Linked DNA regions of Lepisosteus oculatus. The protein of the gene in region 1 purifies or fractionates together with the protein of each later gene. This does not show direct contact. Links are inferred from orthologs where the notes say so. Each region holds a gene or a part of one and is shown on either strand. Other genes may lie near its edges. The genes, in order: actr3b, arpc5lb, arpc2 and arpc1a.

Region 1 (7,179 bases):
TAATAGAGGCGTATTCGAAAAGAAATTATGACTTTTTTCATAATGCACCTATTTGTGTTTTTTAAATAATGTACATTCGATTTTTGTGCACCACCTAGTTATTTCTTGGAGTATTATTCAACTGCTTTTTCTACATCATAGTTTTTGACCTAATGTAAGAAAGTGTATCACTGTGTACTGAGCATCAAAAGAAATGTAACACTCCATATGTGTGTGTTTTCAGAAAATGCTACAAAGCAGAAGGTTATTTTCCTAATAATAACTTTGAGAATCTGTTGCAGTTGTTTCCTTTGAATCTCAGTACTCAGTACTATAAAAGCTGGCTATATTTTCATGGCCTTAACTGCTTAATTAATACTCACATGAAGGTATGATGAACTGTGGTTCAGTATTCCCAGCATAGCCAATCTTTGTGTATCTGTAGGTACAGAGCAGACTTAGTGTTAGTTTTATTTTTGTTTAAAACCCCTTTGAAAAACACAAAATATAGGCCTGCATTGAGTGAGACCCAAATATATAATTCTGCATTATTATTGCAAATGCCTGTTTGTCAAATTCAGTGATTTAAAGTGGTGCCAACAGAAAGCAATTTGTATTTCACAAGCACCTGTTCATCTGTTCATTGCATTGTCTGTGTTGTAAGCCTAAATGTGAGAAATACAAAAACCAATATCATATACTTTAATGGAAAGAAAATGTTGTAGTTCTTAGAGACAAAATGAACATCACTTGCATGACTAAACTCAAATTTGTAAGCAGCCTTGATCAATACGATGAAATGTACTAAAGAACATCAAAATTGAAACTTCTCCATTCCTCATCAATATATGTCATGATAATTACAAGTTTTCAGGTCTTTTTACATTTAAATACGGAGGCCTACCAATGCACTAACAAGATACTGTAGTGCAAATTTAACATTCTAATTCCCTTACGATACACTAACAACGTTAGGAAAATAATGCACCCATCTGAAAGTTTATGCAGTATCCAAAAATCTTGACCGATTATTCATTGCAACCAAAGATATACACAGATACAGTCTTTTAAAAATATGACATAACCAGCTACATAAAATATTTCTTTTGTTACAGACATGAGGTTTGAAAAGGATAATACATCAAAGGACATAGAGGTTAACATACTGTACAGTACATGTTTGATAAGTCCCCTTGCCACTGTCTAGAATCCCAAACTGCTACATCTACAGTAGTCAGCTTTCACAGTTGATTACAGCCTACTAATCAACACATTAAGATTGAGTAGTGACCGTGTTTTCCTCTCAGGGATGCACCGTTGGAGTTCTGAGGCTCTGAAGTTCCTACAACACCATTTGCATAGAATGGAGGAAAGATGAGGCTAAAACCACTGTAAACTCAAAGGCACCCAGATCGTCACTGTGGTCACTAATATGCTACAATAACCCAGCTGTCCCAAACCTACCAATCTCTGCAATACCTGGTGAATTGTGTTCCGCTTAAAGTTGTGACTTTAAGGAATCTCAGTCACAGCAAACTAATGATATGGCCCAGTCCATGACAAATGACACACCCATTTTAGAGACATTTCATCAACAGGGAAGCAGATTAGAAACCTGAATTTCATGTTTCCACTTTTTCATTTTGTATGGTAAATATTACCCATCCCTCCACGAAATCATAAATGAAAAGGGTAAAATCAGTTCTCAGCTAAATGCTGTGTTGAACTTTTAGAACATTTTATGTTACAAAAAAAAAGTACCAATCACTATTACAGAATCTGAGCCACGCACAGACTGTAAAATATCTTAATTTTGCAAAGAAAGGGGGCCATACAGTACAGTATATAGGCCTATCAACAGATGTGCATACGGTATTAAAAACACTAAACCTTTTATTTTGAATTTCATTTATTTGTGCCACTTTAGTTAAACCTGAACAAACAAAATATGACCACTATTATTGTGAGAAAAGCTGAGCCCAAGATTATATACAAAAGTACTACTTAAGTATTTCAGAGATATTTCATATTCAGAATTCATTTAGCAATATTTGGTGATTACTTTGCTTTAGATATATTATTTTTCTACCATTGTATACCAATTTAATTGTTGTTTAAATTTACAACTGCAGTACAAAAGTGTTAACATTTGTATGTGAATTATTTTACCCTCAGTATCATAGCTACCATACAATAATAGCTATTATTTATTTTCATATTTTACTTGGTATATAGAACAAGTTGATAATGTAATTCAAACCACAGGCAAGATTATCATATTATGATATATGCGTCCAAAAATAGCATTTATTCTTGTCTTTCCCTACAATGTGATAAATGTCAAGTTTAACTTTAACCTGTTAGCCTTGTAATCCACAGACCTTCTGTATAACGGAGTATCCATGGTTTGTAAAAAGCTAACACACTACTGTACACTATATGCATAATCGATTACTATCTACCATAAACGAGTGTCATTTCTATTCTACAGGTCCCCACTGTTAATTTAAGATAGTGTATTTGAAAACAAGCTTGACAACAATTTCATTATGACAAAACCTAGTTTTTACACAAGTAAAAAATTATTAAATATAATAAATCGTTTAATGACAGCAATCCGCACCTGTCATTAAACGACGTGCACCCGTGTAATGACACTATAATAACCAAAAGAAATGTCAGTGACCGTCATTTTAGACAACACTCATTAAGAAAACCTCAGTGTAAAACGTGTTTATGTAGTACGTGTGCCGTAGAGGTGTTTGTTCAATTTTAAGTATGTGCAATAAGTAAACTGATCATTAAAAAACAAAAATTAAATACAATCGCTAGCTCACCCAGTTCCACAGTCAATAACGCAAGGAGGTAAATGCACAGCCATTGCTTGGGTTAGACAAATATCCCTGTTTTACTGTAACATGAATAAATAACAAAATATGTATTTTGACTTCTAAATTAAGGAAACCGTACTACAGGACACTGCAATGCCAGATTACCCCCATGTACCGTTACTCCTCCGTAATGCTGACAGCATGAATACTTCCCGAGTCAAAGGTGGAAAACATGGAGTCGTTCCTGGATATTAATCCGAAACAAACAGGGAGAGCTGTCCCTATGGCAACGGGTATGGCCTGCTTGGGATCATGCTGTAGCTGCATAGACAATCAAACACGTTATTTCTTTTTAGTTCTAAAATTTTAATACCTAGCATCTATAAATCAGCTTCATATTGTTGTGAAAGAGTAGTACGTGCTTGGACCGTGACGTGTTTATTTGCTCCATGTGTTTAGTTCGTTTAGTTTTTCCGTGGCGATTTAGTTAATACTGTACATTGAACATTATGTACTTGGATGTCTGTAGGCATAGTTACAGTGCAATACTAAGAAGAAATGTTTAAATTGCAAAATACAGCACAGTCACGGCGTTTATAGTCACACAGTGAAGTTAAAAGTTTAGTTTCAAGATACAGTATGGGCAGGCACTAAGGGTGTAGGATTGCAAAAAAAAAAGCACATTGTTCAGAAAAGCTTTTCTTGTATCTTGTCAACAGCAGTGGGTGTCAGTCGACACGTATGATAAAACAATTTGTAAGTCAGATTGTCTAATGCTATTGGAATTGCAATTTTTAGGGGGTGACAACCGTGAGAAAATACTGTCGTTGTATTTTTATTTTATAATTTCCGCTTTTATTTGCACAGGCACTGAACAGGGCTTTATACAGTATGAGGTGCCTGCTATGAAAACAAGACACAGATTTATAATAGCAAAATTAGTGTTTGTTGTATAAGAGCAACTATTGTGTATGGAAAAAACAAAGATATGGGCTCAAAACAAAGATAATTCATTCAGACATGCCATTTTTAAAAGTGCTAAATGTAAAAAAAATCCATATAATTCAAAATGGGTGATTTCTGAGCCATCTAAGGTTTGCAGGCTTCTAACTAAATACTGTATGAACAAGTATGCAGATTTCAATGGTGCAAAGGGCTGGTGTATATTTTTTTACATTATTCATCTCCTGGAAAACTCAGGTTATGACAGGAGTTAATTTGAAATGTTGCTTACCTCACATGTGTTATTGTTTTATTGAACTTGGCACACTCACAGGATGTGAATGAGTAATATATTTAGTCTGTACTGTATTTTTTCAGGTCACAAAATTGGAAGCAATTAAATATATACAGAAGGTTTGGAGGTGGGTGAAGGATTACACCTTTCCCGCAACCCTGAACAGATATAACCATTGTAAATCTGAGAAGGAATTCATTTACATCTGTAGTCGTCTACATTTTTATTGTGTGTGAGAGATGTGGTGAAATTGTATGTCTTCTCATAAATTGAATTTCAAATACATTATCAGAAAATATAGTTGCCTTTTTTCTGGACAGACCATCCTATAATATAAAATATTTGGTCTTTCTTTGTTGGCTCTAAACGCTCCAGATATATATTTTTAATGAACCACAAGCTCATGACCTTTTGGAAAAATAAATCATATGTACATATTTCATATTTTTACATGTAAAAAATTTAACTTTTAAGTAAAACTGTGAATGGGTTTGCTAATTTTACCCAACTCAGCTCTACTTAAATCATTTATATAAGGCCCTTCCAAAAGTAAAAAAATAATAACAATGGCTTAAAGAAACCCATCAGCTTTATAGATTGACATTTACAGTATATTCCAGAGCTGAGGATCACAGAATCACACAATCAGCAGAATTTTCAGTCGTTTAATCTTGCCTGCCACAATGAATATAACAGTAAATTCATAACTAGCCAACACAAACCTCCCAAGCACATTGGTGCACACAGACTATTTGTGGCTGTAGGGATCAAGAATAATACAGCTTTCTCCTGTTATCTCCATATGCATTGCATTTTGGACTCCTAGGCTCTAAAATTTGGCTTCACCACTGACACTGACTGCCTATTTTCAACACTGTTGTTTAATTTGTTTTTATACAGCAATAGTTTAAGCTAAATTCTTCAATATTCAATGACAACTGTCATGATTCACCACTAGATGGGGATGCTACCAAAATTACTGTTGCAGAACCTATTCTTGCTGTATTAAAAAAGAAACATCTTAATATTAAAATTGGTATTGTAATCTGCAGTCTACACAAGACTTGTTATTAAATGACGTTTTAGTTTATTTTTATAACTACTGATTTTACTTGTAGGCTTTGGTTCTCCCTCGATGCTGTACAGTATATTGGATAAAGCAGTTAGAAAATCAATGGATGATTTGATACATGTAGAATTAAAATATTTTAATCTTAGGCCCTTCTGACAATTTTTTTTAAAGAATTGATCATATCATACTTTCATTATTGTTGTTTATATCAAAGTAATGGGTTAGTATTACAGTAGGTCCTGTCTGCTAAATCACACTGCACTTTGTTTGAGAAATGGGACAATTGTGCAGAACCTGTAATGTTCTTACATTTAAAGAATGGTCAGAAATGCTATTTACCTCAAAACTGCTCCTATGAAAACATTTGTCCAAAGTAACATAGGATAAACTACATCTACAAAATTCCAATGATTCATAACAGCTAAGTATTGAAGTAATGTATCATAATACAGTAAAATGTATCATGACATTAACCAGTAAATTAATTTTGTTTAAAAAAATCTCATTCAACTTTTATGAAATCGACAGATCCCAGTAGACCTCCTTTATAAAGACTCCTGAACAGAAAAAAAATTATAAATCCACTGAAACATCATGTCGATATCTGTTGTATGTCACTGGAAAGATTTATGCTTTTATATACCTTTCTTGTTATTGAACCACTTTAAAACGTGTCACTTTTTTTAAAAGATATGTTTTATCAGATGTTTAGTGACCCAATAAAGTATCCATGTTTTCTGTGTAACTGTTTTTGTTTCAATTCTCAAAACATCTTTATCACTCTCTTTCCCAGCCCCTGCCAAACAGGACTTTCAAGTAAAGACAAGTTCTGCAAAACACTAATATTTATAGTAGCTCTGAGAGCTAAAAATCCTGAATGGTTCATTAAAGTCTACAATTGAGTAAAAAAATTATCTGGTGCCCCATTATGAAACTTTCTTCAGATGTAAGATTAGCATGCAACCCATACACACTCAGATGCTTTTGAATTTCAAAACATTGGTGACTGATAAGTTAATAATTAATTAGTGCATTTTCCCTACCTGTATGTATATTATAATCAGAGAAGTTTGAAACATTATTATTGTATTATATTGCAGATACATATACAGTATATACAAACAACTTTGTTGGGCTCCTATGCTAAAACTCTTCTAACATTATAAAGGACATCACAGCATTTACATAGTAGGCAAGACAGGGTCAGATTCCTTTTAAGTTTTCTTATGTATGACTTTCCATGTTGGATAAAGCTGTACATACAGTATTTATACAGTACATACATGTTGTAGAAGGGCAATATTAACTGGATTACATTCCCCAGAAGTTTGCAAGGAATGACACTGCTGTCATCTGCCCCGCTGGTTAAATTAAACTGGTCTAGTGACAATTTAAGCATCGTAAAGTGGGAACTTGCATAGTTCCACATCTGCCATCACCAAACAGAGAATTTGCTGAATGTGCTGCATCAGTGTGAAAAGGGGTTAAACTAAAGAGACCAAGAAAACAAAAGAAACCAAAAATGAGTGGAAACTGATTCATGCCAGTAGACAGTGTAGCTAACCCACTTTCTAATTATACTGAGGGATTCAAAGAGATTTCGGTTAGTGCTCAGGTGAGCTTTGTTTTGTTTTATGTTTTGAATAACGTTCTTTCACACTATAAGTAAAGCGCACTATTTTACATTCACTATTGTTTCTGTGGGCAGTGTAATTGTGAAGTAGACAAGGTTATTTTAATGATTTTAATGATTTTACCACATTTACCACATTTTTCCGTGCTCGATCGTGGAGAATGTGAGCAGTATGTTGTGATCTTGAAAACCACACACTCTACAGACAAAAAGTGATAGTGCAAAGGAGTATTTTTTTCATCCCATAAATACTCAATAGAGCCATTACAGACTTCTAACGAACCTACAGAACTTCCACATCGACTGCTCTGTTGTACGCCTCAATTACCAGATCATTCGGCTTGGCATTAAATCACCTCATCACTTGTGCCTAATCAACCTTCTCACTAATGAAGTGATTTAGTGCTTAAAACAATCAAAGTCTCTC
Region 2 (7,649 bases), on another chromosome or scaffold:
CTCTTGTCAGGCAGAAGGAGCAGTAATGGGTTACAAAGCCTCCTCTGGTCTCACAGCTCAGCCACATCCTCTTCATAACAGGTCGACCGTAGCACCGCACAGGAGAGCACACGAGCAGATAGAAATCAGAGGAACCACTAAGCCCAGTTCATCTGTGCTCCTTATACGAGACATTTACTCCCCCATTCTCATCTGTCCATCTCCTGAAGAACTCCAAGGGATCAGGATTTGACGATATGGCTGGGAACTTATGATTGGACACCCTTGATTTTTGTTCCCAGAAAATGAGGTCGTTTGAAATGCTAAAGATACACGTTTCTTTTCCATCCGAGTCCTTGTGTAGCAGTCAACTCAAAGAACTTCCCGACAGGTGATACCCCTAGAATTTGAACTGCCAAATCCAGCGCACTACTGTTTCCGTCTAAATTAGGGAGGACCAAACCCATTCAGTTCCTTAACCCTGTCCGTAAAGAACCACCAGTAAGGCCAGGAATTGAAGGTCATGTTTGGTGGGTTAGACTCCAGCTCCCACCCCCCGCAACCCCATACTGGACAAAGCGGTTTAGAAGCCAGACCGTTTAGTGACAAAACACCTTCGCTTTAAAATACTGGTAAAGCAGGCTTGAGGGGGAAAAACATTATTTACTCCTTTGTGATTGCAGTCCACCCCAGAACAAGGGCGCCACGTCCAACCTGCACAGCCAACTTACCTCCCCTGCGCCGTACGAAAAAGACGGATCCAAACAGCCGACTGCTGGCGCAATTCGGAGCAGATGGCTTTGTTCCCCCTGCAGCTCCTGGCACCTGGACACAGCCAAGTGGAGGGAAGGATTTGGGATCTGAGAGGGGGGGGGGGAGATCTTCGGTCTGGGGCTATTAAACTAGTATAATCCTGCATCTGCTGGGGAGACGCTACAAGCCTAATTCTTCAGGGGGTGCCGTAATACCGTACCTGAGCTTCAAACAGAGTAAGGATCAAGTACAATCTCCCCCTGATTTCCTTCAAGTGCACTTATGCTTTTGCCCTGAATGTCGCCCGCAGTACATTCGCTAACCAGGGTGCAGCTGACAGGCCCATCAGACTCGCCGTCGGTGCGCCTTTAATTAGCATGACTAACGCGAGGCTGCTCCAAAACAGCCCTCGGTCTGCAGAGCAAAGCTGACAGGGCGCTCGGAACCCGTTCAAATAGTTATTAAAGACCTGGAAATCTAAAAACCAGCACCTAAAGACATCCAAATTATTTGCAAATCTTAAAACGGTCGATCAGGAGAAACGTATTATGTCCTGGGTACTTGCAGGCGATATGCATGCAAAATACTGCCAACGTACAGGCGTTTTTCGCACGACAGACTGCACCAGCTTCCCCGTGTGCTCTCGATCCAGTTATTCTTAACCCTGAAGTCACACTGTGGAGGCGAAAGACCAAAAACCGCCGAGGTACATTCCTGTCTATAAAACGTGAACATGAAAAATAAAAGTTATCCATGGGGGTGTACCATGGTATGTACTGCAAGAAGGTCCCACTTGTAAATTGAGGTCACCCCCCCCCCAAGTACTGGTGAGGTTCTAGATGAGAAAGATGAATTAATCCACTAAACTCGGAAATAGGCGCAAGAAAGTGGTCTACTGGGCGGTCATCCGACGGGGGGGACGATCCCGGGAGGTTATTTAAAGCGCAACCCCCAAAGATAAAGACGGCGGCGGTGAAGTGTCTCACCCCTCCTCTAAAAATACACACAGCGAGTGGGCAGCCCAGACCCACGACACAGGCTATGTGCTTCTCTCTAGCTACACGAACCGGTCTGGGGGTTGTGGTGGCTGATATTTCTGGTCTCCTGCTCGGGGCACCTGTGCGATAAAGTGAATTGGGGCAGAAGCAGCGAGCAAGGGCGCATCGGGCCAGTGAAACAGCACAGCTTGGTCGGGGCGAAAACCTCCGCCGGTTTTGCCCACTTAGCTTCACAACCAGGAGGGGAGGCGATTAATAACTAACCTGACCAGCTGAAGACGTCTACGGCCGTCCCCCCCTCCAAGACCATGCCTGTTTCTTGGGCTAACGCCACCTTAACGTTTCAGCCTGTCAAAAGTGCAGAGACGCATTTGGGCGAAATGATTTCGCACTCGCCAAGTTTCCAGCCAGCCTCATCTTGTCAATGAAAACATCGGGGGGGGGTCATTCGGGGATTCATGTCGCATGCGTTTTGAGGGCAGATCCTTTAACGCATGTATAAACTGTCCCCCCGTTTTCTTTTTAAAAAAAAAAAACAGACTCCCCCCCCCCAACGCTTTCTGGTCGCAGCTCATGTGGAGCTCCGTTTTTTCCGTGAATTCAATTCCGGCCGCAGCAGCTGCCGAGGTCGTGATTGCTTTTGGAAAAGTTGCAATAAAAAGCCCATGCCGGCAACTTTCAGAGGCTTGACCGGTACCTTTCGGGTAACCCCCTTTCAATACAGCCCACCCCGACCCCCGTGACACGCACAGTATCACCCGTGTTAGTCTATGGAGATGATGCATACCCATCTGCACGTCATTTGAAACCCAATGCGCTTCCATTCGCGTCCCAGGGAAAAGAGGGGAATAAAAAAAGGATATTGCCTGATGAGGCTGTCCACCTCGGCCGTGTCCGGCCCCTGCTGCTCGGCCGCCTCCTCCTGCTCGTCCACGAATTTGTTCTCGTCGTACTCATCGATGTCCACCTTCCGGAACCGGGACGACAGGGTGTTTTTCGCCATCGGGGCTGCTGCTGGCCCAGTCCTGCTGCTGGCCGGGTCCGGGGGGCAGGCGGGGAGGAGAGGGAAGGGGGGTGGGGGGTGGTGTCCAAATACTGTACTTTTCGCAACGGGCCGAAAGCGCAGCGACACTCATGTAGCCCAAGTCCTGCCTGCCTGCCTGCCTTCTGCACTCTCTACCTCTGTCTTTCACTCCCTCCCCTCCTTTTCTCTCTCTCTCCCTCCCTCCCTGGGCTCTAGAGAGACAAAAATATGGCAGCTCTCTAGACTGGCGGAAACGGAACTACCTCACAGCGACAAAACCCAGACCTGATGCAGCCAGCCTCCGGCTGCTCCGCTCAGGTGGGTGGTGGCACACCGTCTTGCCGGCTGAGGGTCGGAGCCGGGCGCACAGGGCGCGTCGGTGTCGCGCCGGGGCTTCTGTGTGCAGGTGTTTTATCCCGTCGCTCTACAGTCCGGGACTTCAGTCGTTCACTTCAGCTGCACAGAGGTGCAATGTAATGCAATGAAATACAGCTTCACAACGAATGGTTGTGACTTTGTGAGACCGGGAATGTCAATCGATGAATCTTTTTTTTTTTTTTTAAAAAGAACATTCTTCTGGGGTTGAATTATTTAAAAAAAAATCTATATGGATTTTAAGATTTTCTTCCAAGGTGGCGATCTGCCATTTGGGAAGATGTGAGTTGAATCCAGTAATAGTTGCATATGAGTCGTACAGAGTCGTTTTTGGAATGAGAAATTGACGCAACTTTTGAGTGATTTCCTCCTGAAGCGGTTCCATCCTCTGGGGACATTATTTTGAGTTGTTCGGAGGGCGTAGAGCTGTTTTTTATATATTGTTTTCAAATAAATCAAAGTTGTTGTTGTTATTATGGCTCCGCTGTTAAACAAACTCCATACACCCCTTTCCCCAGTTCAAAGGCTCGTTTCCTGTTTATGAAAAATATCAAATATGTTCCCTCATTTTAAACATACAAAATGGTGCTGTGTATAAGAACGTTTTCCGGCGATATTTATCAATAATGTAAGTGTGCCATGTTGGTTTTACGAAAGAGGAAAACTAAATACAGTTCGAAATAATTGATTTTCTGAAGACCCAAACTTCTATTAGGTATTACCCGAGCTGTGGTCGCTTTTTTCGACTCGGCTCTAATAACGAGTGGCAGTAATAAGCGTGTGAGACCAATATCTTGAATTACCTCAGTCTAGAGCAGGGGTTCCAGATCTTGGGTCTGGGTGCTTAATTGCCTAATTTACCCCTCCATTGAAAACAGAATATCCTCCAGCTAGGTTCAATCCTGGACCTTCGGGGTGCTGTCTGTGTGGAGTTTGCGTGTTCTCCCACTGTTCCTGTGGTTTTTCCTCCAGTTTCCTCCCACAGTCCAAAGAGACACTGGTCGATTTATTGGCCTCAGGGGAAAATGGCCCCGGTGTGAGTTTGTGCATGTCTGTGTGTCTGTCTTGCCATGGACTGGCATCCTGTCCAGGGTGTATCCTGCCTTGTGCCTGTTGCTCGCCAGTTTAGCTTTTGGCTTCCCTGCAACCCGGAATTGGAGGAAAATTGACCAATATAGTGAACAATTGATTCCTATTAAGCCATTTATGGGTCACTGGAGTGAAAACCAGAATACATGGTGGCCCTAAAGGATGTTGAATGAACATCAGTGCCACTGGCTAAAGGAAACCGATGCTTTATTTTTTTATAAGAGGTTCAGTTCGCCTGCCACTCCTCATCAGACAGTGACTCTTTAAAGAAACACGCAGTTGCATCCCTTGGTCGTTTCCTTGATCTTGACGCATATGTAAAAGATGAATGAATAATGAAAGTGTGCGCCTTCCACAAAATGGAGGCTTTCCTTAAGAATTTGTGTCGTTTTTTTTTAAGTTATTACTTGTGTCACTTCACAGTAGTAAACGTGATTGTTTAGTTTTAAATGTGATTAAATATTATTGAATAATATTGTCAGTGTTATTTATTATTGTGATGTGTGGGCTGTGGTTGTGTTTGGAATGTGAATGAATGAAATGTAGCATAATATAGGTATATTATTAAAGACACGTCCTCTCACGATAGCTCATCTATTAATAAAATTAAGAACCTAATTTATGACTTCGCTTAGGAGACCTCTTTTAATGGCGAGCGTACGGAATATAAATTAATACCTTCTGAATTAATTTTCCCACATGAAGCCCGGTTGTAGGTTACCTCGCAGGTTATAGGGCATTTCATTTTAACAGCTAAGATACGAGTCAGCTTTTACTTTTCGTGCTTTGTTATGGTTATTGTATTGTGTTGATTTAAATGGACGTGAATGATGTATTTTGTAATGTGATATAAATGACAACACATATGCTATAGCTCTATAACTATAGAGAGGAATGGTATTTTCTTCTGAAACGTCTCAACAGAAGACCACTAATCTACATTTTATTTTAAGAGTGTTCACAGTATCCTAATTTCAAAAGGAAAATATGTTACGTATCAGGGATATTACAATCAGAAAACATTTTATAGTTCTCTCCAATGTGTTCAAATTTTTAACTTATTTTTTGTAACCTACATGGTAACCTCTACAAGTATCTATAAATTAGGGAGACATTTAACCTTATTAAACGTCAGCTTTTGCATCTAACAACAACGTGATTTATATATATACAGATTAGCGGTCGGTAGCGTCTGCAACAATACAATCAACATTATGTGCGTCTTTACTAAAGTAAACGATTATGTTACATTGGTTAATAAGGGAAAGGTTTTAAAATTCGAGTGACAGATGGAACATTCCTATAGCCTCCCCCCCCCCCCCCCCCTTTTGTGAAATACGTTGGTAGCGCCCGTAACCCGGTAGAGCTTCGCCGTGACCCTCTGGCCTTCCTTTCCTGTGACAGCCAGCACTGACGATGGTGAGATACCGTTCTTCCAAATCCAATCTCGTTTAATCCTTCGCTTTATAAACGTTATAATGTACAACGAACACATGCCAGCGTGTGTAAACTCCTTAGTTAAAAGTCAGATGGGTTATTAAACCAGTTGAAACACGACTTTCCCTCTATATAATACGTTTAATAGATTGATTCTCACTGGGCACTTTATAAACTAGTTATGGCTGTCGGGTTCTTTTACGTGGCTAGAATAACGCATGGCTTAATAAATCGTAGCGTTTTCCCCTCCAGCGCTTCTTTTATAGAATAGCATTGATATACTGTTAACCGTTTTGTTTTAAGCATCATCTGATCTCGCTGTATGGACAGCTCTTGTGCATGTGGTGCGGGGTTTGTTTGATAACTTTTTGCGATGATCGTATTGGAATATGGGGGTTCCTAAAATTCTTGGTCGGAAGGCTTTATTCGTTTGTTTTTTTTTTTCTGATATTTAGTCTTCGTTGGCCAACCTATATAAAACTGGCTGCGTTTTGTGCGGCTCTGAATCGAAGCTGAGGACCTGCTTTCAGAAACCTATTAAAAAACAAAAGTGCAGGGCAGGCCAGTGTAAAGAAAGAAGATTCCCTCTAAAACATTCTCATACATTTTTATGGGGGGAACTTGTTCTGCTGCAAGAAAGCACTTAGTTGTATTTACAATGATAATGCCGCTTGTTTGTAGTTGTATTGATTGGAGTTTTAGTAGGTAGGCTTGTGTGCTCACCTTTGGAAAGTTCAATTCACGCTAGTGGAACAGACGTTTTTTTTTTGTCATCATGCACGTAAAAGCAGATACAGATCCACATTTCTTCACTGGGGACAATAAAATATTGGAGTGTCTACTTGTGTCAGTTCTGTGGGTCCAACAGGAACGCCTTGCATCTGGATAGGCATCTGCTTTTGGAGAGAGCAATCCAGTCCATAGAAATAGTTCCAGTCCCAGCTGTGTCGGCTTGCACAGGCTGCAAAGGAACAGGTCCGGGTTTATTCCACGCCGAAAGGAAAAGAGAACATTTTGGCTGTGGAGCTGAAATGTTGTCTCTTTTCCTTTCAGTGTGGAATAAACCTGTACCTGTTGCCCCACAGTTTATTGGAAAAACCCTGCAAACACTCTTACTTCTAAGGAGCCTGGGCGGTGTACCACTGGGTGGCCCAGCCAACTTTTTGTATTGTAATGCAAAAAGTATCAATTAGTGTATTGAAATGCTGTGAACAGTGGTCGTGTTCTTTTCTAACCGGTGCCTGATGGCTCTAACACCTGAGCTGGGGTCACAAGAGATGAGCAGGGTGTCATGGTTCCGCAGCCCGGGTGTTGGCCTAGAAGGTTTTGTAGTTTTAGCTTCTGAGGCTGATCGCGCAGGAGATGATGGGGACGCGCGGGGCTGTGTGTTAACGCCGTCTGTCCCGGTGCCCAGGCGAAGATCAAGGCCCGAGACCTGCGCGGGAAGAAGAAGGAAGAGCTGCTGAAACAGCTGGATGACCTGAAGGTGGAACTCTCCCAGCTCCGCGTTGCCAAGGTCACCGGGGGAGCTGCTTCCAAGCTCTCCAAGATGTAAGTCCCGGAGGCCGATGGGGGTCGTCGTCGCCGCGCACCGTGCGGCCGAAAGGCTTTATGTCGATGTGACCCGGCAGTTTTTAACGAGATTCAAAGACGAGGAGACTGAGACCCCTTATTTCTTGGCGTTTTGCTCAAAATCATGTTAAACTAAAGGTTCCCGTGCAGGATGTACTGGTGTCATAGCAAAGCAAAAGGGACTCAAAATTAGTCTGTAACAGAGAAGATGATGCTGTGTGCCATCTGTGTTTTGCAATCTCAGATGAACTAAACTGTTGCTCAGTGAGAGTCCCCAGGACTGGCACTCAGTGTTGGCTCATCTTGTCCTGTTTCCTTTCCTTGTCATATTTGCTTCTGATTTCAAGTCCCAGTTCAAACCCACTTATATTGACTAAATCTTTTTTTAGATTTAAACAAGGTTTTTCACTTAAACTCTGTGG
Region 3 (7,132 bases), on another chromosome or scaffold:
GGACTTTGAAGTCAACACAAGACTTGATAGTCAACACAAGCCTCCTTACTGTCCCCCAAGCCCACCTACATTGTATGGGTGACAGGGTGTTCTCCTGTTTGCCCCCAAGCTCTGGAATTCTCTCCCCAAGGATATCAGAGAGTCACCTTCTCTAAACTCCTTCAATCCAAACTCAAAACTTTCTTCTTTAGAAGAGCCTTTACGTAACTTCCATTCTTTACCCCTCTGCTCCTACTATACTTAGTAGCACCATCCACGGTCTCCTCTGTGCATTGTAATTGTGTTTTATCTTGTGTATTCTTTTAATTTATTGTTGTTGTCATTCTGTAAAGCGCTTTAAGAAGCCACCTTTAAAGGTGCTATATAAAATAAAGTTTATTATTATTATTATTATTATTATTATTATTATTATTATTATTATTATTATTATTATTATTATTGATAGGAAGCCAGTGCAAGGACTAGGACAGGAGTAATGTGATTGTTTGCACAACACCTGGTCAGGATCCCGGTTGCCCAAATTCTGGACATACTGATTAGATAGTGGTTTTATTTACCCCAGCAAAAAGGGCATCGCAGTAATCAATGCTGTAAAAGATCAATTACGAATCTGTAGAAGACTTATTTGTACGGATGCTGTCTTGATTTACCAGTGTTAAATATTAGTCTATTAGTTTTTCACATCTAGAAATTTGTTTTCTTTTTATGATGGATCATATTGTACAGCAATGTGACATGCACTGATATACAGTATCATGATTTAAAATAAATCATCAGAAAAACTCTTGGCTTCAGTCTTGCAATTTCAGATCACTCTGTACCTTTTAGGAATTCAGACAGGTATGTTCCATGTGCCTTGATTACTACAGCTAAACTTGTTCCTGCCTGTCCTGAAATTCCATAAAAACAGAAAAAGGAACAGAAGATGGGTTATGAGCTGGGCAGAGGATGAATGCAGTAGAGTGGGAGACATGAAACATGTTTATTGTAGCAAGAGAAATGGTAGCAAAACAAATCTACATTAATTAAAAACATAATCTACTCTGTAATTTAATGTTAAAGAGAAATAAATCAGAACTTCTTCAATTTTCATCTGATGGCTTTTCCATCCTGTTTCTTAGAACAGTTCTGCATTTGACAATTATACAGTGCAACAGCATTAGAAGAAAAAGGTCACCAATAAGACTTAATTTAAATTATGCATCACACTAATGCTCCTTATTAATGTATATTTCATGTCATAATATTTTGCAATGGGGCATTTTCTCCAATTGATTTGTTTTATAAATAGAACTGTCACTGCTCCTCGAAGGAGATAATTAAATTATATACCTAAAATTAGCATTTATGAGAACACATAATTAAAACTAAACAAGTACTAGCTTTAATTTCTAATTACCTAGCTATTTGTGCAAGTGAAGAGACCTCTACTAATACCATGCATTGTAAAACCTTTTAAAGACAAGTGTTATTAAGGCAGACCTGCAAGAAAAAAACTTGCTCTAGCAAAGTGCACCATATATTCTGAAAGAATTCTGAAACTGCCATTGTTAAAATGTGTTAATGATATCATTTGAATAGATAAACCCAACACGCAAAAGTCTCTTAAGTTGTCCATTTACAATATGTGACAAATAGGGAAATTCATACAATGAATTTCAGTTACACATTGCTATTAAAGGTGCAATATTTCTAGACTCAGCAATTTACCTACACAATACAGTACAAAAACATTATATTCTTAGCAATATATACAACACAACTCCATAACAAAAAAGAAATGCAACCTCACCTCACTAACCTGCTCTTACAGTATCTATTATAAGGAACAAGTAATAGGTTTATTCCATGCTGAAAAAAAAAGAAGAAAGAAAACACAACGTTTAGGCCGTTGAGCCTTCTTCAGATGTGAATATGCTTTTATATTATGGTTCAGATGGTGTGTCTATAAGCTAAGCTGAGTGGTAGTAAATAGCTGATTGATTAGTATTTTTATTAATGACATATACTGTAAGCAAGACCTAAGTTATATACAGGTATACAAGGTGATTTAAAAAAAAAATCTTATGTCTTGTTTATATATGGGACTTTTTACTCAGGACACCACTGCACTCCCACTTCCCTGGAAGAGATTTAAGGAAATACAAATTATTGAGAATGCCATGTATTGTCTCTGTTAAAAGCTTTTATAACTTTTACAAGCAGGAATTTCTAAACAGAATACTAAAGATATAGAGAGAGAGGCATAAAACAGAAAGGGGAAGTGCAGGAATTGTTAAACGAGAAAGTAGAAAACAATGTCTCAATATCAAGTTTCAAATCTTACATTCAGAGCTTGTGAACTCTGCATTATGAAAGCCTTTCCAGGGAAACTCCTGTGTTTAATCAGCAGTTAATGAATGGTAAGGAGCTTTAAGAAGGACAAACAATGCAGGTAGTGTGAAAATATTTAAAAATAGTTAATTTGGAAATATACATTATGTAAATTATAAAATCAATATAATATTAAATAAAAATTAAATGTATTATGTTGTGCCTTTCTTTATATTTAATTTATAGTATGATAATAAATTAAATTATATTACACAATAATTTATATTGTAGTTATTTGCTTCTGCCTCAAAGCACTTAGATCCTAAGTTTGAGTTTGCATGCTGTCCCACATTCTAAAGACATTATGGCTAACCCATTTGTTGTCACTAAATGGTCCTCATGCATATGTGTGTGTGTATGGGCAGGCATCCCATCCAGAGGGAAACCCTGCCTTGGATCTTCCGCCTTTGAGTGATGTTAGTAATAATTGGCTTTCTGATCATTGATGGATGAAGGCACTACCTTCTGAAAAATGACAAATATTTTGATGAGATCTCCTATTTGTGTTCCCTGCACAGATAAACCATCTATTTATTTTCTAACTGCTTCTTCCAGTTCAGGGTTGAGGGAAAGCTGGAACCTATCTTGGCAAACAATGCACACAAGTCAGGGCACTCTGGACAGGAGACCAGTCCATCACAGAACAGACATACTGTACAAACACATTCACACTTACACCAAGAGCTGTTTTTTTTCCCAGAAGCCAATTAATCTACTAGTATATTTTTAAACTATGGAATGAAACCAGCCACACAAATAGCAGGAGAACGTTCAAACTCCACACAGATGGCACCTTGGTCCTGAATTGACCCCAGGGCCATAGCACTGCAAGGCAGCAGTGCTAACCACGGTGCCACCATGTTGTCCATACACAGACCATGCCAAAATGTACTAATAGTATGTATTACTGTAAAAATATTTCATACAAAATTGAAATTATTTTCATTTTAAAAATGGGATTATGGCAGACTTTAAAGCTTCCTTTTTGCTGAATAATGTTTGCATTATGTGTTTTTGTCTTGCAAATACTAAACATGTTTTGGGGAATGAGTGACAATTTACTTTTCAAATTATGAGTTAGTATCTCTTTTTCTGTTTTTTTTAAGGCTTTAGTTGAGCATTAGGTCTCAAGGGCATTAAATCAGTTATTGTGAACAAAACCAGTCTCTATTTTAGTGTCTGCTTGACTCAAGTGATTCATTGAAGCACAGAATAAGCAGTTGTTTCATAGATTCTTAAGGCATATGAATAGAAATCCTCCCATCTTGTGATAACCAAATATTCAGTTTAAAATTACAGTTCTCAGTAAAGCCAGCTCAATACTAGCCAGGTAACGCGCAGACAGTAAAAAGCTATATATGCTGTAGAAGAGTCATATATGTTATGGAAGAGAAATACTTGTTTATAAAAGCCTGTGCAAAAAGCACATATGTGTCCACTGGTTGAAGCAAATGAGCAGAATCTATTACACATTCAACGTCTCCAGTAACTCAAAGGCTTCTTTGTATGGGCCCTCGGTACAGTATGTGATATTTTAAGCTTTTTCGGTTTTGTTTTATCTCAACCTTTAACAGGTATTCATACACAGTACAATAAGTACGAATAGATAACTGGGGTTATACAACAGAATATTTTTATTGCACATACACTTATTTTAATTTAAATTATGTTAATTCGGGGATAAAAACACATTCAGTCATCCTGCTGCAAATTGTTTTACTACAGGCATAGTTCCGGACAACCTCACTGGAGGTCCTTGGAAGACAAGCGGAAGTGCCTGGGCGGAACAGCCTTGCAGGGACAGAGAGAATAAGAAAGATTGCGGAGAAGAAAACGAAAATATTGCAATTTAATTAAAAGCATTTTTTTTAAAGCACGTCTTATATTACGATTTGGGAATTCATTTTCAATCGCCATGATTCTTCTGGAAATCAACAACCGTATTATAGAGGAGACGTTGAGTCTGAAATTCGAGAGTGCGTCCAATGGGTAAGAAAATGTAAATTAAAAATTAATAATAAAATGCGTTGTCTATTAAAGATATACAGTCTGATCGTGCCGTGTTTCTTAAATGAATCTTAAAATACTAGGCTAAACGCAGCGGCCTTGCTGGGAATGTTCGTAAGTAATAACTGGGGTGTGTCTTTTTTATCTTTGTTACAGGACAGGAGTGAAGACTATCGTTTAAGATATAATCTATTTAAAAGTGGTCTAATGTCAAGAAATAATGAGAGTTCACACTCCTGCAGTTTACTTAATGACATTAACTGTCGCTGGTTGCTGTAGTAGTAATAGTCGAGATGCAATAAGTACTTCAACATCCGGCCTAAGTTAGAAAGCGGAAAATAAAGTTTAAGCCTACTGTTGCTCTAACTGATGACTATAAGTAATGAGAGCATTTTACCCTCTTCTGTATATAAATACAAAGACGTATTGTTGTATTCTTCAGGATTTGTAGATTAGGAGAGCTTTGAATCGCAACAGTGACACCTCGTTACAGAGGTAAAGCTGCAGTGACAGCAAAACTGACACCTCATTAAGACGAGACGGGTCTAACACCACCTAACAACACAACACCTGTCTACATATTACTTTACATCTCATAATTATCATTGTCACTCATTGTTTTTTTTTATCGTCGGAATTCGTACAGTTAGTCTCATGATCGCTTTTAACGTATGACTTCCGCATTTAATGAATTGGCAACAGGCGCAGTTTTACATATTTGTGGTCACTTGGGTCGAGCTTTTTTCGAGCTTGGAATTCTTTTTTATTTTATTTTTGTAATTTCTTTCATAAATTATCGTCAAATTTGCCACTTGCTTGGTGGAAGCCCCCTTCTTTGCCTATGCACTTCCGCATTCCGGAGTCCCCTTTCAAGTCTAGGCAGGGGTAGTCAAGCCGGCGAGCAGCACATGCAGTAGCGAATACCAAAGTGCTTCACCTAGAGGAGAGCACCTCTAATCCGCCTTCATCCCCCGCTGAAGGCACGGGGAAATGTAGAGGGGATAGTGATTATCTGCTGCCATACTGAGACTTTGGCTTGAAAATTAAGTGTTCGTGGTATAAAAAAATTAAGATCACCGTAGAAAAACAATGCAGGCCATAAAGTCATATATTTCATGCGTTATCTGGTTTGATTTTTGTTAGTGCATGGTGCACAGCAAAAACCTTATCGTTGCTCAAAATACCGAAGTCTTTTGTAACGGTATAGTGTGTGAAGTGTGTTGCGGATATTTTGTATTTCTGGTATCGCTGAATTTTATTTAGTTGGAAATCTTATGAATGGTGTGTTCCTGGAAACCTTTTGATTATCTTGCAGAGACTTAGTTGCTTTTCTTTCACTGGGAATGCTGTTTAGAACACAAGGTAATGTGTTCCTTGGCAGTCACTGGTTCACTCTTGTGGGGATGGAGAGGAAGTCTACATATCTTCTGTAATGATGCTGTTCAGGTGAAATTCTGTTGCAGCAAGTGTAATTACAAACAATAAACTGCATGTGGAAATAATGCCTTTGAAAAGAAAAATACAATAAATCTGTTTCAAAGAAATAAATGGTTAGTGCTTTAGTTGTAATTTAACTAGATGTAGTTTTTAACATATTTGTTTAGAAATATTTTTAAAAATTGAGTTTCCTGCTTTTTTTGTAACCTTCTTGCACTATGGTAGACTGAGAAATCCAGTTTAGAACAAATTGAACCAACTCAATCTAAGAAGCTAAATAATTCTACTTTCTGATTTTTTTTTTATGGTAGGAGGTAGCTAAAGCATTATTGTTTAATAAAACAACTTAAAAACATTTACAGATGATGACCTGGGAGCATCCCAGGAGAACAGTCTCCATTCTAAAGAAACATGCCAAAATATATGCTAGGGGCCAGAAAAAAAAAATTAAAAGTGACTGTACTGCAATTATCGTGATACTTAAAAGGACAGTTAATACTTCTACCACATTTTTTAAAATGACTCACCCTTGATACGAGCTTTTGAGTTTGCAGTCTATACGTTTCCCTCACACACATTAGCACAGAGTCTCTATTGTTAACGTAACTGATATTATACTTCTGTTTTTTTTCAGGAACAAACCTGAGGCAGTAGAAGTAACATTTGCGGGTAAGTGCAGTTTGGTTCAACATATATAACCTTTGTCTTATGTAGTGAAACTTTTTAAACCTAAAGTACTCTTTGTATTTTATTTTTCCTCTAACAAAAAAAAAAATCCCCATTTCTCATTTGTCCAGTGACACCAAGACACATTATTTATAAACTCTTATAAATGGTGCATGTTGTCCATTAGAAAATGATCCCTTATTTAATGTGGTTCTATGTCTGGAATACGATGTTATTTATTCACATGTAAGAATATAAGAAAGGTTGCACACAAGCAGAAGCCCTGTAGCCTATCTCGCCAGTTTAATAGTTTAGAAGAGAAGTAAATTCTAACATTTTCTCCAGCTGCTTTTTGAAGGAGACTTTTTGAGGCTCGGCCACTTGACTGGAAAGTATCTTCGAGACACCAGCAACTCTTTGTGTAAAGAAGTGTTTCCTCTTCTCCTTTCTAAACAATTATTTTATTTCCCAGTTATGTCTCCCCCTTTTTGTTTGCAGTTGAGTTTGTAGTAGTCCCTCTGGGTATAGCTTATCTTTACCTCTTTTGGTTTATATCAGCTATAACCTCTCAAGCCTCATGCAGCATTGGAAAATGCAGCAATTTTAGTAGAATAAACATTCTGTTCTTTTTGATTTCGCCTACATTGAG
Region 4 (6,915 bases), on another chromosome or scaffold:
TGCATAGACTTGTGTCGTGATGATGGGATTGGATTGGGAAATGCTGCACTTTCATATCAAGGATGGAGAGTGCACCTCTGTATATCACCCTGCTACTGAATGTACATGAACAAGCTGCTTCAAAGTCTTAAAGCATAGTTGTAATAAAGCAATGGATGTAATTAAAAAAGGTTGTCAGTGTGTTTTTGAGCCTTTTATAAGTCATAGCTAACAGCGGTTTTGTATTAAAAAAGGAGGTGATTATTTTTACATGCTTTTCATATTATTTGTACTCTACAAGGGCAAGATTCAGAAGATTTAATTCTATATACAACTTACTTCATTTTTGTCCTGAAGGGAGATCACCTATAGTAAATCTAAATGTTCTTTCTATTTAACTTAACTTTCCATTTATTCTGAGAATTTCACGATTTCTTTATATTCCTGGTAGGCAGTCTATCTGTACTAGCTTGGCTGAGGCACATCTTATGTACCTGTGCTGCCAGGCACAGTGCTGCATCTTAAGTCCAGTTACTGTATATAGTCCATTAGGGTTCCACCTAGGACTGAAGAGATTAATGAGGGGAGCAGGCAACCTGTCTGCTCTACTTCACAGTGCTGATGTCCAGTTTATTTTGACTTGTGATCTTTTACTCTCATATTATTTAAACACAGTGTCCTCCAAAAATATTTAGACAACAAATTATAAACTGGAATTTACACTATAATATGTGTAGATTATGCCGGTTTAGGGACGCCAAATATGTTAGAAAAGTGGCTCTCCGAAGGCACCAGTTCTGTAGGGTTTGGGCATTTACTGAGACAATTTTTAATTGTAGCAGTAAATCACAAAGTTGATTCTTTTGGTGGCTTTAGAATCCAACCATGCGATATAACTCAAACAACGCACACACACAGGTACTAATACACGAGGATACATTTATTAATACATAGAATATGCATATAAACCTAACAGATCTTATCGAGAGGGTTATCAGAATACAAAAGGTATATTCGGTCAGTTACAAAGAGTTACACATCAAGAGGAAATACGTTCAGTATATCATTCATTAAGACCGTTTCGTAAAGTGAACTTGGTTACAACTTCTACATTAGATACTCAAACAAGTACATAACTCTTAGGAATTAAATTGATATCAACTGGTTTGGATAACAATTGAATTCTCGAGCTGTAATGCATTGAAGTTGAATACTCTTCCAATCTCTGGGGATTCAGATCTCCTGCGGGCACAAAGAAACAGTTGCAGGCTGTTGCTGTCCAATCTGCGCTCTCTGGCTCGGTGCCAGGCTGTGCTGTGCGGCTTGCGACGGTGCGCTGCTGATGCTCACTGACCGGCTAGTTAGTGTTGGCTTTAACTAGCACAGTTTGTGCACAGGAGAAAAGATGACTGTGGGTCCCAGCAAGTCAGGAAGAGGACCGGTTCGTTCCTGATGAAGCGCTAGTTCTGAATAGTGATTCAGCTTTCCACAGTTCCGACCTGTTCACGAGGCCTGCTGCTGGTTACTCTCTGGCAACCTCCACTCTAGACTCTTAGAACAAAGGAAAGTTCTGGCACTCGGACACACTGGCCGTTCCGTGGTTGTCCGGGCTGAGTCTCAGGATGGTCAGGAGGCGCGCTGCGAGAATGTCCTGCCCTTGGGATTCTCCTTTGAATTCCTTCTGAATCTTGTCTGAATCTTGTTGAATCTCTCAGGCTCTCTGTGTTGCCTGTTTTTACCTGGAGGAACTTCAGCTCATTCATTGGCTGAAAGTTCCATGGGCATCAGAGTCCCACGTGGGTTACTCGGCCCTACCGGTCCCTGATTGGTTGATCAAGGTGAGATATGAGTCACTTAGTCCTGACACTTAGGAATGCAATCCAGATGTCCAACTCGCACTCCCTAGACAGATAGGCGCCAATGGGTGACCATTGATCATGATAGCCAGGCTTAGCTAAGTGCATCCCCCTTTGGGAGCTGTCCTTGGACCTTAAATCACCTTGCATGAATGGTTTCTCTGTGGCTGCACCACAGAGATGAACAGAGAAATGAGGCCTAATTTGGGAAAGCTCAGAAACACTTAATTCTGCCTTATTATTAAGCCTCGCCGCTACATATGTAATAAGCATTTCTCATTATGATTGATAATTGCAGCTCCTAAGTATTTTATTTTTTATAAGGTGACTTCAGTTCTACTTTCAAACAATTACACATATTGGTAGTGTTGAACCTATTTAGTTTGAAGGAGTAAACACTTGGGAACAATCACATGACAGGTGTCTCTAGTTGGCCAGGTGTTTGTTGTTGGTAATTAGGAACTCATAAAAGATCTGTGAACATCCTATCAACTTGTCTCACTTTGACTTTAGTGTTTGGAGTCTGTGGGGGAAAGCCAAAATGAACACCATAGAAGATTCTATTAAAGGAAAGTAGATTATTAAGAAGAATAGCCCAGAAACTTGACAAACTAAAATAAATACTTTGGAATACATGGAAGAAGAAAGTAACCAGGTATAATTGTCAATCAGTTAAGACTGGATTGGGGGAAAACTCTTAAACACCTGTCAGTCACCAACAACCTCCAGGGCTCAATGATGAAGGTATCAAAATCCATGGCTCATAATAGACTGATCAGAGATCAGAATTCCAAAGGCTACACCTTAAGATGTAAACCTCTCATTAGCACCAAGAACAGAGATAAGCCAGGATTTGTTAATAGGATACATACTGGAATTGGATAACTTTTCAATTATTCTGGTAAAGGTGAAGGTGTGGAGAAAGAATACAACTACAGATGCTCTAATCAACACCACCTCTTCTGTGAAGCATAGTGGAGGTAATGTCATGGCCTGGACATAAATGACCACCTCTGTGTAATAAAATAAAACTTTATATTGTGCCTTTAAAAGTGGATTCTCAAAGTGCAGTGAGAGGTGATACAACAGTTAAACTGTTACAATGAGGGTTTAAAATACAGTAGGAAAGCAAAGGGGTAGACACAGAACCAGTTAAATAAAAGCCTTTATAAAACAAAATTGAGTCTAGATTTGAAAGAGCTCAAGGGAAGTGACTCTCTGACATCTATAGGGATCTAATTTCAGAGCTCTGGGGCATAGCAGTAGAAGGCTTTGTGACTCAGAGTGAAGACCAGATTGGGGGACAGACATGAGACCAGAATTAGATGAATGGAGGTTGTTAGGTTGTTAGTAGGATGATAGTAACTCAGACAGCTACTGAGGTGCCAAGCCATGTAGAACCTTATAGGTGAGCAGTAGGACTTTGAAGTATACCTGATAGGAAGTGAGTCTGAGGACTTCAGGATAGGAGTAATGTGATCACTTGCGCTAGACCCGGTAAGGATTCTGGCTGTTGAAGCTTGGACATAGTGTAATTTCTTCACTGCGGATTTACTGTAGATACCCCAGTAAAAATGGAAGTGTTGACCAGCTTTAGCGATATTTCTGAGGTGGAAGAATGTTTTACAATATGCTGCACATGTGGGTCAACCCTGGATAAATATCACCCCCATATTCTTCACTTTAGGTTGAAACTCGGCACAGTACCTTCCACAGATAACCTTACTGCATTGGCTTTACAAAGCTTAAAGCCAGCATAGTGTAATAGGACCTGGTGTTACAACCTATGGCTGTTGCATTGCCGTGGATGCTATGTAAAGCAGTTTGAGACCTTTTGGAATGAAAAAAATGCAAGGAATGAAAGTAAATAGAATTAATAATGACTATAATTAACAGCAGCCAATAATTGTAAACATTTTAATTTTTGATCTTGGTCTTGTTCATCCTTTTAATTCTGTATTTTAAATTAATTTCATTGGGTGTTTGCCGTTTTGTAAAATTGTACATGTATCTCCTCCCGTTTGTCGTCACCGTGCTATGTGGAGAGTGATAGGGCTACTCCTGAGTTTTCTTTGTGCTGTGATTGGGCTGCAAGCTTGCTGTTAAATCTGGGAACAGTGGGTCCTTGTTATTTCCTGGGTTGTCTTGCAGTTCCGAGTTTATCGGAGTGAATTCGTGTCGACTGCCCAGAGTCCACGAATTCAGGTCCGCGCCGACCACAGAAACCGAAGCCTCTTACCCGAAAACCACCATCGAAACAAGATTCTGAAACGTAGGTAGAACATGTACTCAAGATTACAGGCCTACCGGGAGACCGGCTTGCTCGACCTGTGCTATGCTGCTTACAATCACCAGGGAGCAGGCTTCCGCTCTTGGGAAAAGCCGGTGTTTGGAAATTAGAAGGGTGAAAGAAGAGGCCTTGTTTGATTAATGACTTGGATTTTATGTATCTTGTATATATCTGTGATGGTTAAGTCCGTGTTCTCTATGGTTATTTTTCAAAGGCAGTTTTTCATTCTAAATACCTAATCTTATTTTCTAAGTTACCGAAGTCTTCCTTAACGATCCGGTTAATTACACCTAGTATGACAGCTCTTTGAATGAAATATTTTAGTTTATTAATAGAAATTAATAATTAAAACAGTTTCGTTTTTTAAAATATTATGTCTCCGTAAATGCAAATTATGATTTTTAAGGCTTGTAAACGCGTTGTATATGAAATTTAAACCTTACAACCGCTGTCTGTGTTTGAAAATTACACAGACATTGCACTGAAGCAATATAGAATTAGAAGAAGTCTAAAACAATATTCATTTTATAATAATTATTTTAAGGCGTTTTCCTTTTTGGAAATACATAAGTGACTGCAGCAGTGATGGAAAAACGTCACACCCACGAATCCGTGTAAAATTCCAGATACCGGCGGTTTATTCTCTTCCGGGTTCTTATGAAGGTACCTATTGCTACACGTCCAGTGATCTTTAGGTTTCTTTTTTTAATGCTTTTGAAAGCTTTGATTTCTTTTTCCTTGTCTACAGTAATATGTATAATAAACTAAATACATTAGGAAAATGTAGCAAATGGTGTGTAAATTCAACGATAAAATAATTATAGGTGGGATTTTCCTAGGTATAGGTGCTTTTCCTTAAAGATACATATTGTACCTGTTTTCTGTCCTTATTGTTTGTTTCGTGCAGTCGTGGATATTATCGCTGCATTGAGATTTACAGACAGGAGTTTCCTAATGCGATATTTGACCGCATATCTCTTATGTGAAAACAGCAAAAGCACAAAGATATAACAACGCACTGGGTGGTTAAATCGGGTACCCTGAGAAATGTTAAACAGGTGGAAGAACGAGCAATTACTGTCCACTGGTAATTCTGATAGTTAAAAATGAGACAAAATAACGTCCTACAATGCATTGATCTGTTTTTTAAGTTTTAATAAACTGAACCATTCTAAAATAGTATCAAAGGGATGATTAAATTAGCAAAGGAGGTAAGAAGGCTGCGATAAAAGAAACGATTTGTGTGTGCGCCTTTATCATGTGGTCTGATCATTGTGCAAGCAAGTACCTCTCTTTTCGGTTGGTAAAACTTCCCACAACTTTGCATATAGGATTGCTCTGTTTGAAGGTGTCATCATGATTGATTACTCCAGTTTTACAATGGATGTTTTTTTTATTTCCTGCAGAATTTGGTCAGCTGCCTGAGGAATCTCTTGGATCATAATGTCGCTGCACCAGTTTCTTTTGGAACCCATCACCTGCCATGCCTGGAACAAGGACAGGACTCGTGAGTGACCCCTATAGGGCGTATGAAGAATATTCCTGATAACTTGTAATGTTAGGAGCCCATTTTCCTACCTACGTTATTTTCATGTTGTACAGTGTTGAATATGGGTAATCTGTGCTTTCTTTTTCTATATTTCTGTTTCAGAAATTGCTATAAGCCCCAACAATCACGAAGTTCACATTTACAAGAAGAATGGAAACCAGTGGGCAAAAATTCATGAATTGAAGGAGCACAATGGGCACATTACAGGTATATTTCAAGTGGTTGACTTTTCTGTCACAACAGCCTCTTAGTTTTAGTTGTGAGGGTGGACTTGCAGCCAGTCTATTATGTTTTCACTGCTTTCTGAATTACTAAAATATATCTGGTTAATCACCATTGGTGCTTAGTGGTTCTTATTTGCACAGGATTTAAGTAAAGCATTTCATGGCTAGAGCCTTGATCTCCACAGAGGATAGGAAATGCCATCTTGCATTAATAGTCTTTTAATTCGTAGAAAAGGTGAGAATATTTGGTAGTTAAACAGGAAGTTTGGTTTTTACATCAGTCACCCATGAGAGATTTTTCTTTTCTTTTTAAGAGGAAAGAATTAGAACTTATTACATATCGGACACTGGAAAATTAAACTGAATGCAGCTGTACAAATTACATTTTTATGCTCTTCTCTCTGTGCAGGAATTGACTGGGCCCCTAAGAGCGATCGTATTGTTACGTGTGGTGCAGACCGCAATGCCTATGTCTGGAGTCAGAAGGATGGGGACGGAGTGTGGAAACCGACACTGGTGATTCTGAGGATTAACCGAGCAGCCACGTTTGTGAAGTGGTCACCGCTGGAGAACAAGTTTGCCGTGGGCAGTGGAGCTCGGCTCATCTCCGTGTGCTACTTTGAGTCTGAAAACGATTGGTAAACCTCACTGGAGTGGATGAATGTCAGCTTTCCCTGATTAGATGCTGCCCAGTTCTTTATTTTGGACTTTCACAATTTTGCTGATTGATCCATAAATTCAGAGGTGTCATGCTGTATCTGTGTGGTAATGAAAGTTACCCTCTGAATCTGTAGATCACGGTCAGGTTGCCTCTTAGAAACTACCAGATTACTGTAAAAAAAAAAGTTTCCAGGATGTCGATAGACTGTTGCTCCGAAGAAATCACAATCAGATCTGAGTGTTGGTTCTAATCTGCCAGTTTACTCTTAGCAGTAGCTTAAGCATTTGGTTGTACAATATAGATTTTCTCTTCCCTTAATTTAACTAGCATTTTCTGTAGTGTAGAGAGCAGAAGCA

Evidence for each region.
Region 2: the proteins of actr3b (region 1) and arpc5lb purify together in Homo sapiens (affinity purification with mass spectrometry; 3 studies listed by BioGRID and IntAct, counting the BioPlex papers as one, with this or other methods). This does not show direct contact. The link is inferred for Lepisosteus oculatus from reciprocal best matches to the Homo sapiens genes ACTR3B and ARPC5L.
Region 3: the proteins of actr3b (region 1) and arpc2 purify together in Homo sapiens (affinity purification with mass spectrometry; 6 studies listed by BioGRID and IntAct, counting the BioPlex papers as one, with this or other methods). This does not show direct contact. The link is inferred for Lepisosteus oculatus from reciprocal best matches to the Homo sapiens genes ACTR3B and ARPC2.
Region 4: the proteins of actr3b (region 1) and arpc1a purify together in Homo sapiens (affinity purification with mass spectrometry; 5 studies listed by BioGRID and IntAct, counting the BioPlex papers as one, with this or other methods). This does not show direct contact. The link is inferred for Lepisosteus oculatus from reciprocal best matches to the Homo sapiens genes ACTR3B and ARPC1A.

The regions. Positions count from the first base shown.
Region 1 is NC_090701.1:10,984,431-10,991,609, reverse strand, and holds the start of actr3b (actin-related protein 3B), read right to left. Parts: upstream 3,022-7,179; 5' UTR 2,861-3,021; coding exon 2,817-2,860; intron 419-2,816; coding exon 363-418; intron 1-362. UniProt on the Homo sapiens protein: Plays a role in the organization of the actin cytoskeleton.
Region 2 is NC_090719.1:13,112,072-13,119,720, forward strand, and holds the start of arpc5lb (actin related protein 2/3 complex, subunit 5-like, b), read right to left. Parts: upstream 3,007-7,649; 5' UTR 2,734-3,006; coding exon 2,593-2,733; intron 682-2,592; exon of another isoform or gene 663-681; intron 1-662. Other genes in the region: rpl35 (large ribosomal subunit protein uL29), read left to right, coding at 5,635-5,637, 7,070-7,206. UniProt on the Homo sapiens protein: May function as component of the Arp2/3 complex which is involved in regulation of actin polymerization and together with an activating nucleation-promoting factor (NPF) mediates the formation of branched actin networks.
Region 3 is NC_090707.1:22,142,358-22,149,489, reverse strand, and holds the start of arpc2 (actin-related protein 2/3 complex subunit 2), read left to right. Parts: upstream 1-4,123; 5' UTR 4,124-4,288; coding exon 4,289-4,362; intron 4,363-6,451; coding exon 6,452-6,486; intron 6,487-7,132. UniProt on the Homo sapiens protein: Actin-binding component of the Arp2/3 complex, a multiprotein complex that mediates actin polymerization upon stimulation by nucleation-promoting factor (NPF).
Region 4 is NC_090714.1:10,186,153-10,193,067, reverse strand, and holds the start of arpc1a (actin-related protein 2/3 complex subunit 1A), read left to right. Parts: upstream 1-3,908; 5' UTR 3,909-4,107; intron 4,108-5,531; 5' UTR 5,532-5,568; coding exon 5,569-5,632; intron 5,633-5,776; coding exon 5,777-5,881; intron 5,882-6,307; coding exon 6,308-6,536; intron 6,537-6,915. UniProt on the Homo sapiens protein: Probably functions as a component of the Arp2/3 complex which is involved in regulation of actin polymerization and together with an activating nucleation-promoting factor (NPF) mediates the formation of branched actin networks.